Caenorhabditis elegans: one gene and its partner. The protein of the gene in region 1 purifies or fractionates together with the protein of each later gene. This does not show direct contact. Each region holds a gene or a part of one and is shown on either strand. Other genes may lie near its edges.

What was found. The genes of interacting proteins can lie anywhere in the genome.
Region 2: the proteins of lrch-1 (region 1) and str-222 fractionate together in Caenorhabditis elegans (co-fractionation; one large-scale study listed by BioGRID). This does not show direct contact.

The regions. Positions count from the first base shown.
Region 1 is NC_003284.9:6,208,231-6,215,567, forward strand, and holds lrch-1 (Calponin-homology (CH) domain-containing protein), read right to left. Parts: upstream 5,682-7,337; 5' UTR 5,619-5,681; coding exon 5,520-5,618; intron 5,041-5,519; coding exon 4,899-5,040; intron 4,220-4,898; coding exon 4,075-4,219; intron 4,031-4,074; coding exon 3,901-4,030; intron 3,845-3,900; coding exon 3,587-3,844; exon of another isoform or gene 3,525-3,586; intron 3,489-3,524; coding exon 3,334-3,488; intron 3,020-3,333; exon of another isoform or gene 2,898-3,019; intron 2,677-2,897; coding exon 2,592-2,676; intron 2,202-2,591; coding exon 1,976-2,201; intron 1,473-1,975; coding exon 1,393-1,472; intron 1,345-1,392; coding exon 1,149-1,344; intron 1,082-1,148; coding exon 876-1,081; intron 824-875; coding exon 749-823; intron 695-748; coding exon 575-694; 3' UTR 531-574; downstream 1-530. Other genes in the region: C14F11.7 (EB domain-containing protein), read right to left, coding at 1-199, 248-268.
Region 2 is NC_003283.11:1,634,576-1,639,816, reverse strand, and holds str-222 (Serpentine receptor class r-10), read right to left. Parts: upstream 3,659-5,241; coding exon 3,458-3,658; intron 2,957-3,457; coding exon 2,790-2,956; intron 2,745-2,789; coding exon 2,610-2,744; intron 2,563-2,609; coding exon 2,421-2,562; intron 2,376-2,420; coding exon 2,066-2,375; intron 685-2,065; coding exon 536-684; downstream 1-535. Other genes in the region: irld-17 (Receptor L-domain domain-containing protein), read right to left, coding at 3,934-4,022, 4,069-4,201, 4,249-4,316, 4,882-5,241.

The DNA.
Region 1 (7,337 bases):
AAATTTGTGATGAGCTCTTCGTTTGTCTTCCCCGGAAGCGATGCCCTCTGTGACTTGAAAATTCTTCATCGTCTCGTTGAATCGGTGCAAAACCAGCGGTACAACTGTGTGTGACCATGTCACAGGTTCCAAATTTGCAGTCTGAAGAATCGAAGCATCCTTGAACAGTTGCAGAGAAAATTGCAATCAAGAGAACAATCTGTAAAATAAAGTGAAAAATGGACAGAATAGTTTTAAAAAATCTTACCTGAAGAGATTTTGACCACATCTCTATTGAACAGAAAACGTTGTGTTGCTTTGTTGAAAGATGCTCAAGCCATTTATAGCAGCTGCCTAATTGAATTGAAATGTTTTATGACGATGGGAATGGGAATATTGTAATTTTGCAAAAACCCTGGAAGATGCAACTCTCGAAAATCAAACATGAAAAATCAATGGTCTTAGACACCTTCAAAATTGATACTCGCCAAAATCTACAATTTGAGCTTCCGTATGATTTTCGTATGATTTGATTTATACATTTTTTTGATAAGATATGAAAACGTTTATTAATCACTACCCGAGTAAAGGTAGATTAACATTGAATGGAATTAGACGATTGAAGTTGTTGAAGTTTTGCGACGGTGAGAACTGTGCGAGCTACTTTTTGAGGGTTTCTTTTTGAGATTATGTCCATCTGAGAGCACAATGTGGTCTGTAACAAAAAATTATAATATTTAATTTTCAGATTCAAATTTTTATAGGCTACCTCTGGAACTCCAATTTTTCTGCAATACTGTAGGAATCTATCGACGTTCATTTTGGATCGAGTAGTAGCAATTGACTAAAAATTGGTCCAAATTAGAAGTCACTAATTTTTAGTTAGAAAACGTTACCGAATCTGTTGAAGACGCAAGAGAGATTGATTCCGGATGAAGTTTATTTATGAATTTGCAAAGTTCTTGCCCGTCTGACAACTGCAAGCTGAAACTAATGTCACCCTTATTCAGGGAAAACGTTGGTCCCAGTTTTTCTCTCATCAACTTTCTTGCACTCTCCACGTCATTCGCTATACCAGTTGCAGGAGCGCGAAGTCCTGACTCTGAAAGTAGTTTTTTTGCGTGAATAACTAAGTACGGAAGTGAAAAGAGAAAAGTAGAATAACTTACTATTCAGGTTTGTCACACTTGAAGTGATCGGTTTGCTTGCAATTTTTTGAGCAGCTGGCTCTTCTGATCTACGAGAAATTGCGGATGCAATTTTGGTAGTTTTCACGGGGATTTCCTTTTTGACAGTTGCAGTGTTTGTGGATCTTGTGACAGTTGTACTCTGTATCGGATTGGGGCGACGAACAGTTCCAATTTTCTGAAAATGAATACTCATGAAAAAGGAGCACACTATTTAAAAGCTTACAGTTTGAACGTTCCCATTTGTAGCAATTGGGCGGGGTGTTGGTTTTGGCATAGGTGCCACTTTGGAAATGGGCTTTTTACCTGGAAAAAGCCAGAATAAAGTTGAATAAATAGCTGCCGTCAGTTTGATGGCAGACTGGCTCAACTTTGGAAAACCGTGTTTTGTATTTTATTTTTGAAACTTTGACGGTCTCTTGAAACGATTGTCAACGGACAAACAACTTTTTCTGAATTTTTTGTTGTATATTCAAAACACTTGTTGATATTTGCAAAAAGAGCCAAGTAGATTCTAAAGGTAAAGTAATAACGTGAAACACTAATACAGAAAATATGATACATGTATGCAGTATTCCTGCAAATAAGTGGGCTAGCGGTACTTCTGTAGTATACCTGACCAAAAAATATTTCTAATACATTTTCTAAGAACCTTTTGAAAATAATAAACTAATCGACACCTGGGATTCATTTGCGCCTGAGGCTTAGAAAAAAAAATCCTAAACATATTATGAACAACAAGGGTCACGTGAAATTTTACTGGACTAATTTTAGCAAACCAAAACCTACTTAAAGAAGAAAAAACTAACCCATTCCAGGACTCGACAAGCTGCTGCTGCTTAATTTGGATTTTTCGTTATCATTATTGTTATTATTGTTGTTGTTTTGCTCATCCGGAGTACTCTGCCGTAAATTCTCTTTTCCACCGTTGCTTGTTGGCAAATGAGATGGAACGGACGAAATCTTGTTTTGAACAATCTGTACATTATGGGATTTTGCATGTACGGAGGTGATTGTCCGGGACTCGACTAATTCCTGTAAACCAAAAACTCGAGTTATTCAAAAACTAAAGTGGCACTCGTGTTGGCTATTCTAGCAAGGAAAAATTACAAAACCGCAAATATCTCATGCATATTATCACTGCAGTTAGTCCATGGTTGAGTCAGTTAAAAATCAAACAAGTGGGTATAAATACTGACTAAGGGTGAGTTCCTGAAGAATATTAACACATAAAACAGATGAACAGGTTGTAAGTGGAAAATAAACCTTTCGATGGTTACTCGTCGGGAAGAAGACATTAGACATAGTCATAGAAACGTCGCGAGGACCAGAAAACAAAAGTTGTTGGGAGCGAATATTATAGTTTCGGTTAACAAAATGAAAGAAGCTGATATGCTGTCAACAAAAACACATGCAATAACTTACTTTCGGTCGATGATTAAGATTTCCGTTCACTGGTCGGTGGTCATGTTGAACATGTTTGACTGGTTCAGGAGGGTTACGCGTAGCCCTGCAAGCGATTAGTAAAGGAGTAGAAAATAGAAAAGGTCAGAGGATAGTGAAAATGACCATGGTAAATGAGAAATAGGAAAGGATGATTTGGAAGGTCCGGAAACCAATGTTATATTTACTATGAACAACTTGTAAAATTTTGCGCAAATGCCCAATTTTTGAAAATTATATAGGGAAGTTCGAAGAATTTTAGAAAAAACGGTATTGAATTTTAATTTGCTAAATTTTTGTAATTTCTAAAAAAAGAGTAACTGTTATGCAGTTTTTATTTTTATTTTTGGACAGTTTATTCTTACTTTTCTTCAAATTTAGGAGTAAGAGTGGGAATTTGTCTGAATTTGAAAAAATGCAAGAAGCAAACTTAATGTTTTGATTAAGCCATTTGAACGCAAATGAGTAGAAAATGAACAGTGAATAATTTTTGGGGAAATTATTAAGGCTAAATTAAATAAGTACCCGTTCTCTTAGATTATTTGCAGTCAAAATTGTAGAAATTCATTGCCATGAATGTTTGTTATTTTTTGTGTTCATTAAACCTTCACCCATACTCGTCAGAATTAATTATCCACCACCCGCAAAACCCATTACTCCTCTTCAAGCAGTGGCTAATTGAGATGTCAACCCGTTTCCACTACCCACTTCCCCGAATAATTACCTCGATTCGTTATGCGGTGGATGTTTTTCGGCGACAATTGTCGTCGATGCTGTCGTTGTGCGCTTTCGATCCAATAGAACATCATTTGAGCCATTTGATGTAGTTGAGCAAGCAGATGTTCTACCATCGAGCCACTTGAATATGTGCACGATGCCCTGAATATTGCCCATGTTAATTGAACCGCATAAATTCATGTTCACACAAAATGTGCGGTTTTTATCGCTTTTCGTTTCAGTTCAAAGGAGACACTTACCATTTCAATAATATCCATGGATGGGCTTCTTAATGGATTGCATTCTAGTTGCAGGTAACGGAGATCAGTCATTTTGACAAAGTCAGCCGGCAAGTATGATAAATTGTTATGCGAGAGATCCAAAGTGCGCAATTTCAGCGAAGAACACAATTCCGCTGGAAAATCCTCGACACGGTTTCTGGAGATTTTCAGAACTTCCAACGATGTCAGGTATCTCAGTTGTGATTGTAGACTTCGTATGTCGTTTTTAGAAAAGTCCTGGAATTTTAATTTTTAGACAGTTTGATTTAGTGAATTTTTAGTGGTTTTTTTACCAAATGTGCAAGCGTTGGAGCCAGACGTCGAATGCCTTCTGGGATGCATGTTATCTTATTGTTTGCAAGAATTAGAGCTTTGAGTGGAAGATCAAACAAACCATCCGGAAGATGAGAAATGTCATTGGAGCTGGAAGAAGTTGTGGAATTTAGTTTTGTAACTATTGTTTCTACCTAAAATCAATAAAAGTAAGTTGTTCGAGGGAGCATATACACGTAGGAATTGTTCGAAAACGGTTCGAGCTGGCAATGCATGAGATCAGGCAGTCGAAAGCTGAAAAGTCAGCTGGCAGTGTGGACATTCGGTTGTCGTGGAGGTCTGAAATACGTTGAAAATAAATATGAATAATGGGAATGGCATTCGTGCGAGGCTCGAGAAATAGGAATTTGCAAATACCTAAGCCCATTTTGGGCTCAACGGTAAAATTATCTGTTGGGAAGTTGGGCTCGGATGTGTCTGGAAAAGATCAACTTTTTGAATCATAAAAATTAATGTAGAAATATAGAAAATTATTTTCTTTATTAAAATTGAAAAGTTTGAAAAATATTTCAGTGAGCCGAAAAAATTTGTATGTCTTTTTTTTATCAGAAAATAACAATTTCTGGCACAATTTTCAAATATTTTATAAACATGTCAGCACAATTAAAAATTATTTTCGAATAAATAAAATATTTTTCTCTATTACTACAGCAATTTTCTTTTTGAATTTGCACTGACAATTTTTTAGCACTGACAATTTTTAGCACTGACAATTTTTAGCACTGACAATTTTTCGCACTGACAATTTTTTGCACTGACAATTTTTTGCACTGACAAATTTTTGCACTGACAAGTTATTGCACTGACAATTATTAATTGTTGTAGGGACGTGACAATGTCAGTGAAAAAGTCAAAATTTTAAAAATTAATTAAGATTTTTCAGTCATTTTATTCAAATTTTATCTACGAGATTAGCTCCTTTGGTCACTCAAATAAACCCGCTCTGAATAAATCTCACCAAGAAATACAGTGTCCAGAAGCGCAATATTCGAGAAAGCTTCAATCGGAAACTCAGAAAGCCTCAAGCCGTGAAGTAGGAGACGTCCCGAGTATTCAGCTTCCTTGAAACGTCCTCCAAGTGTCGATGTGTATGATGTTGTCTGAAAATGTTGGTTATAAGTCCCTTTATTTCATAAAAGTTACATAGTCGAGAAAAAATGCGTTTGGGAATCAGAATGATAGATAACACTTGCTTTGCTGCACTTTTTTCTCATCATTCATTTTGAAACAGGGGATTCCCTTTTTTCGCTCAGTCCTGGTATTTACTCCCGATATATGTTCAGTTATTTTTACATTTTTACACCCAACCTTGAAGCGAAAAACTGCGGAAAAACAAATTTGTGGTTGGATTTATGACTGGTCGTTTCCCAGCTTGTCACTAGTACAATATTACACTTGTTGAGAGAATGTGTCCACCACCGGCTAACAAGTGTTAGGAGAAAAAAGCAGATAAATAATTAGGCGCATTTTTTAGTGAAAAGAATTGACTAAACGTTTTCTCTATTTAGAAACATAAACATTTTCGAGACTCGGGAATGGAATGAAATAAATAATTGAAATAGGTCAATTAGAGACTCACTTGTCCAAAATGGATAGATCCCGTTGATGTAGTGGAGCGGCTTACAGACGGTTCAGACGAATCATGGTCCGATGTGGAGCGATGTTTGGAAACTGCCATTGCCTGATCGCTCGCATCGCTCTTTTTCTTTCGCTTACCCGTCCACGAAAATGTTAGCATTACCTGAAAAATCAATACATCTTGAAATAGTACAAAATTATTTGCATTCTAATCGGAAAACACTTTTGAAAAAAAAAACTGAAAATTCAAAAATTCAGAAAGCAGTGCCGCTTTGAGTGTTAGGTGGAACCATCAAAAACATGGGAAAAAAGACAACGGAAACAAGTCCTAGAACGGATATAAGAAAATGGCAGGTGTCGTTGACAATTGGAAAACCCATAAAGCATTTCAGCCTATAAATGGAGATGAAAATGCTCATGAAACCGAGGAGCACAAAAAAAAAATGAAAATCGAGCTCGATGTCGAGATCACAAAAGGATTAGGCCAACGAACATGAGGATTGACGGATTATGAGAGAAGAAGAGAGAAAGTGCGAAAAGAGGGAAAAATGATTGGATTTTATAAACAATTTAGTTTGCACTTGAATGTGCGAAGATAGTGAATGTAGCTAGAAAATAGAAGAATAAAAATCTAGATATTTGATATACTTTAGAACAGTTTGAGAAAAGTAAGAAAAAAAGCTTGCAAAATCAAAAGACCCCTATAATTTGAACGTCAGGAAGGCAGGAAGTGAGAAATGTGAAAAAGAAATCCTAATGGAAAATTTGAAATCGCCACTGGTATAGTACTCTTAAATACAAATAAAATCAAATACTGAGCCCAGCCCTGTTGCTGAAACAAAAGACGTGAAAGACGACTAAACTCACTAGTCAGCTTCAGAGTACATTAAAATATTGAAAAATATATATAGCAATACTTGTAGAAGTTCTCAAAATGTAAGTTGTTTTACATCAAAACTTTCATTTTTTGCAACATTTAGGCAAGATGTGTAAACTTTTAACAAATCTCCTAAAGAGACTCACTATAATTTGGTAAATGAAAAATAGAAACTGATAACATAAAAAAAGTGATTTCATATTCAAATTGAGAATGCGCGGGAAGGTTCTATGTGGAATGGTAACATAGAGAGTGATTGGCGACGAGGGCGAATGGACATCGACGAGTGAGAGCCAGTCATTTCTCTATTTCTCTCAGTATTCACCTCCCACTTGCCCCAAAACTCATTTGTCACAAAAATGGCACTGTTACCCGGCGGACAGAACCGAGAGAAAGCGCGTGGTCGGCGGAAAGTAAATGAACCAATTGAAGTAGACTCATTACAGTATCCAATAAAATGGTATGCTCACAAAACACTAACGATTAAAATCACAAACGATTAAAATTGAAAATGTCAGATTTGAAAAGGTGATTGAAGTCGGTGTGCTGAATCGTCTAGCAATCTGCCACCAAATTGATGGCTTAGCACTATATCTGACAGGTCATCATCATCTTCATCTTTCATCAGTTCAAAATGCACATCTTTTCCAATGTATTAACACAACCAAAAACTACTGAAATGTGACACTGGCGGGGTGCTCCACACAGCTTATTCGGTGGGAGAAGAGGAGGAGAGAAGAGGTCCCAACGAAAAAAAGAAAGTTTTCTGGGCCTTTTGCCCGCGCGGTGACGGAAGAAGCCAAGAGGAAGAGCGCGCGGCAAAAGGATGCGAAACATTTGAAATTAGATAATGGACTTTGTGTAAGACAAGCAAAGTGGTCAAGTTTGCAGAAATGTTGTGGTTCCAGTACGAAAACGCGGAATGAAGAGATAAAAATATAA
Region 2 (5,241 bases), on another chromosome or scaffold:
CAATTGACTCCAAAAATTAAGAATATCATTGTGAAAAAATTCAAAAAAATTTCCCTGATTTTATATTTGAGCTTGACATCGCAAATTTCATTTGCGTGCCCGTGAGATTTTTCAAATGCGCGCCCAAACGCATTATCATTGGAACGCACTTGCATAATTTGATTTTATCTAGACAATATCTATATTTGAAAAAAGAAACCGGGCACAAATGAAATTTGCGATTTGAAGCTCAAGTATGAAATCAGGAAAATTTTTTTGAATTTTTTTCACATAGATATTCGGAATTAAGGGAAAATTTGGAGTCAATTGAAAATATTTCCCAGATTTCGGTACTCCACCTTTAAGTTAACCAAATACTTTACCCAAGATGAGGGTCTCGCATTAAATGAGGCTCACGTCTAGACAAAGCTGAAAAATGGGAGTGGTTTTGCCGCTTCAACTGTACAATTAGATCTATAGGCAAAAAAAACTGAAAGTGACAACAGGCATTATAAATTCATTCAAGTTATGTGCGTAGAGGTTTAAAAAAAGTATTTCATGTATTCATATGAACTATCGGAACATGACTAGGAGCACTCGGAGCATTTTTAGTAGTGTGTCCGTCGGTGTAGTAAGAAGCGTTTCGGACGTCACTGACAACATGCTTCCTGCATAGGAATCTGTTTTTGATCCAGCGTAAATAATCTGAAACTTGGAAAATAACGTTTTCGGTCATAGAAAATCAATCATAAGGGCAACTAAATTTAAATTGCTCATCTTCAGAAATTTAAAAATTACGGGCAAATAAAAATTTAAATTGCTCATCTTCAGAAATTTATAAATTACGGGCAACACTAAATTTAAATTGCTCATCTTCAGAAATTTATAAATTACGGGCAACTCTAAATTTAAATTGCTCATCTTCAGAAATTTATAAATTACGGGAAACTCAAAATTTAAATTGCTCATCTTCAGAAATTTATAAATTACGGGCAACTCAAAATTTAAATTGCTCATCTTCAGAAATTTATAAATTACGGGAAACTCAAAATTTAAATTGCTCATTTTCAGAAATTTATAAATTACGGGAAACTCAAAATTTAAATTGCTTATCTTCAGAAATTTATAAATTACGGGCAACTCTAAATTTAATTTGCTCATTTTCAGAAATTTATAAATTACGGGAAACTCAAAATTTAAATTGCTCATTTTCAGAAATTTATAAATTACGGGCAACTCAAAATTTAAATTGCCCATCTTCAGAAATTTATAAATTACGGGCAACTCTAAATTTAATTTGCTCATTTTCAGAAATTTATAAATTACGGGCAACTCAAAATTTAAATTGCTCATCTTCAGAAATTTATAAATTACGGGAAACTCAAAATTTGAATTGCTCATCTTCAGAAATTTATAAATTACGGGCAACTCAAAATTTAAATTGCTCATTTTCAGAAATTTATAAATTACGGGAAAATCAAAATTTAAATTGCTCATCTTCAGAAATTTATAAATTACGGGCAACTCAAAATTTAAATTGCTCATCTTCAGAAATTTATAAATTACGGGAAACTCAAAATTTAAATTGCTCATCTTCAGAAATTTATAAATTACGGGAAACTCAAAATTTAAATTGCTCATCTTCAGAAATTTATAAATTACGGGCAACTCAAAATTTAAATTGCTCATTTTCAGAAATTTATAAATTACGGGAAAATCAAAATTTAAATTGCTCATCTTCAGAAATTTATAAATTACGGGCAACTCAAAATTTAAATTTTCCATCTTCAGAAATTTATAAATTACGGGCAACTCAAAATTTAAATTGCTCATCTTCAGAAATTTATAAATTACGGGAAACTCAAAATTTAAATTGCTTATCTTCAGAAATTTATAAATTACGGGCAACTCTAAATTTATATTGCTCATCTTCAAAAATTTATATTCATATTACGGGCAACTCTTACGGCAATCTATCAAAAGTTTGAAAAAAAATTGTTAATGAAGTTGGTATGAACAGATTTTTTAGAGGATTCAAAATTAAAAAAAATCAGTGTGTAAAAATGATAGAAAGTATCAAACTCACTCAGCAATGCTCTCCGGTAGTCTTTGATAATGAAAATATTGGGAAGCGGATCAATCGCTGGATACACTGCAATACTCATCACCGCCAAACCACTGATAACATCATCGTTTATATCAAAAATACACAGAATTAGTACAATTGTGAAGGGAAGTTGCATGAAAATCACTGGTATTAGGGTTTGAATCACCAGTGCGTAGAACAATTGGCGTTGGAGAGCATTACTTTTCGAAGATGCACTTTGCTTTACCATGTTCTGTATACAAAAGTAGCATTTAATTCCGAAGAAGAAAATTGCTAAAAACGATATGTTCTGAACCTTTTTGCAGTTTTCTTGTGAAGATTTTGATTTTCTCACCACAGTCATTACATTTAAGCCAAGACCAGCAGATGGTCCTACATTGAATTGTATAATGCCATTTTCGTTTTTCTGAAAAATCCTCGGGCCCAGATAAACAAACTCTGATTCTTTCAAGCCAAACGTGACATAAACGCTGTCTCTGAAAATTGAAAATTGCGTCTCAAACTTAATCATGAAGAAATTTACTTAATGAAGTTAGTAACTTCTTCTGTTGGCCGGCAAAAAAAGTAACCATCAAAAGACCAAATTGCTCCAAAACTTAAAGGAAGCAAGAACCAGATAACGATTTTCCAGGTGTTGAATGAGTTTGCTAACTGACTTCTGAACATATACAAAAATTAAGTTGATAACTTAAAAAATACTTACCCGCAGGCTGCCAAGTACCGATATATAAAGTGAACACCAAACATAGCGAGAGACATTCCGTAACAACCCCAATACATTGCATTAAATATGTTAAGTGTGAAATGGCTTAAATCACGATCTTTTGCACTGATAATTGCCAAATAGGTTGCGTATTGGGTATGGTGAAACTAAAATATAATTTGTTGATTGTAAAAGAACCAAAAAATATATCAAGAAATTTGTGATATTTTTCCCATTTTTTAACGTCGATTTGTACAATGATCTGTTGAATTTTTGAAATTAAAGTACAACTATATAAGAATTCAAACATTAAACAAATGACGCGAATTTAAAATGTTGAGATTTTAGTGTTGATGTTTCGATCTTGTATTTTAAGGTTTGGTAGTCTTTCGGAATGCTTTTTATTTATATTATAGAGTAAAATAACGTTTTTTCTATCGGTAAAAAATGTATATATATATATATATATATATATATATATTTTACAGAAAAACTACAATCTCGAAAATGAGCCGGAAGGGTTTGCTCCTCCAAAACATTACAACTCTTCAAAAAAAAAATTTCTATATACCCTTTATGGAGTTAAAATTGAAGCTTTGTCGCTTATACTTTTGAGCTGACATGTTATTTGGAAAAAATTTTCTCAAACACCTGAATAGTGCGCTCACCGGACTTGTTAACGCAACGACAATTCCGTAAAATATCTCGAAAAAAGAGAAGTATAACATTAAAAACTTGTAAGCTCCAATCTGCGTCGGCGACTTGTTCAAAATAAGATGTATTAAAAATATATTTGTTAAAATCGAAAAGGCAGCAGAAACCTGTTGAATATGAATCAAAAGTCTTCCCCATTTAAGACCGCTGAACATGCTTCCAGTATGAGAACACTAACAAATTTGCAAATTTCGTGCAGCCCACCGACTACAAAACCAACCGTGATTAATGAATAACATGGGAAATTTAGCTAACAATCAAGCGAAAAAAAGGAAAACAAGGAAATGAACTAGTTCAATTTCTAAATTTAGACGTTCTCCGAACAAGAAAGCTGTGTTCAGAATAAAAAATAACGAAAACTTTCAAAATAAAAAAAATCAAAATTGAATTATTTGAACTAAAAAAACATCAAATTATTTTGAAAATAACGTTAGAGTGAAACCCATAACAATAAAATAAAAAAATTCAATCTGAAAATCCAATTGGCACCATTGTTCTGATTGGTTCTGTCAATGGCTTCTGAAATTGAATTGTTTAGTTAAAAAGTACCAAAGTACTTCTTTACCACACTCATTTCCATCAAAAACAACGTTTGTCAAAAATAATTGATTCATAAGGAAAAGACAAGCAGTCGAGTTGAGAAAATCATTTCCATTCTCTTGAAATCCGATTTGATATCTGCTTGTGGAAAATACTCGCTGAAATTAAAATTGAGAAAAATGGAAGTTTTTCATTGTGCAAATACCTTCAAATTGGGTAAGCTGGCATTCTGTAGAAGCTTGTTTGAGCTTATTTGAAAAGGAACGGCAGAATCTGAATTAGCTGTGACTGCGTGGGAGGATTGGAAACATGAATCTCATACTTAAAAAACTGGGTAATAACTAAGAACCAAACTTAAAAAATGAGCGGTTAAATTTATTAAAGGTGGAGTAGCGCCAGTGGGAAAATTGTTAAAAACCACTCCTTTAGTCCCAAAATGACCAAATATAATGATAAAACTTTTCAAAAAATTTTTAAATTTTTTTTATTTATTGTCAAAAAGTGGTAATTACTCAGTTTTGTCGCTCATAATTTTGGATGTCGACCAAAAAAAAATTTTCTAATTTTTTTATGTTTTAATTTTGTTTAAATTGATTGTATTAAAACATTGTAGGGGTCGAAAAATGCGGCATATCTTTAAATTTCCGCAAAAGCTCGTATTTAAAAAATTTTTGGCAATTTGCCAAAACTTTGATCGGAAATTATGAAAAATCTAAATTTTTTTGGAGTGTTTTATTATGATATTCGGTTGTTTTGGATCATTATAAATGCATTTAGTCAAAATCCCCACTGGCGCTACTCCACCTTTAAAAAAATATATATTCAATGTTCTACCTACCATTCAAGCTTGCAACATATTCCAAACTCCCCAAAAACTCCAAGTTTGTCAAGTTCGTGTTCTCAATCCTTATTCCTCCATAGATATTTTTCACATTTCTCAGTTTTTCAACATATGCTTCATCTCCAGAGCCTATCGTTATTTTCCCTAATACATCGCTGCAATTGTTATCAAGTTTGCTCATTCCATCGAAAATACAATCGTCTTCGCCGTCCTCTTCCGTCACGTTTTGACAAATTTTCGCTTCAATTTTACTGAATATCACTTCATTTTTCAAGAAAAAGAGCATTTCGGAGGGCGTGAAACAAAAGTCGTCGTGAACTTTTTCCACGTTTATTATAAAGTTGTCTCTGGTTGTTT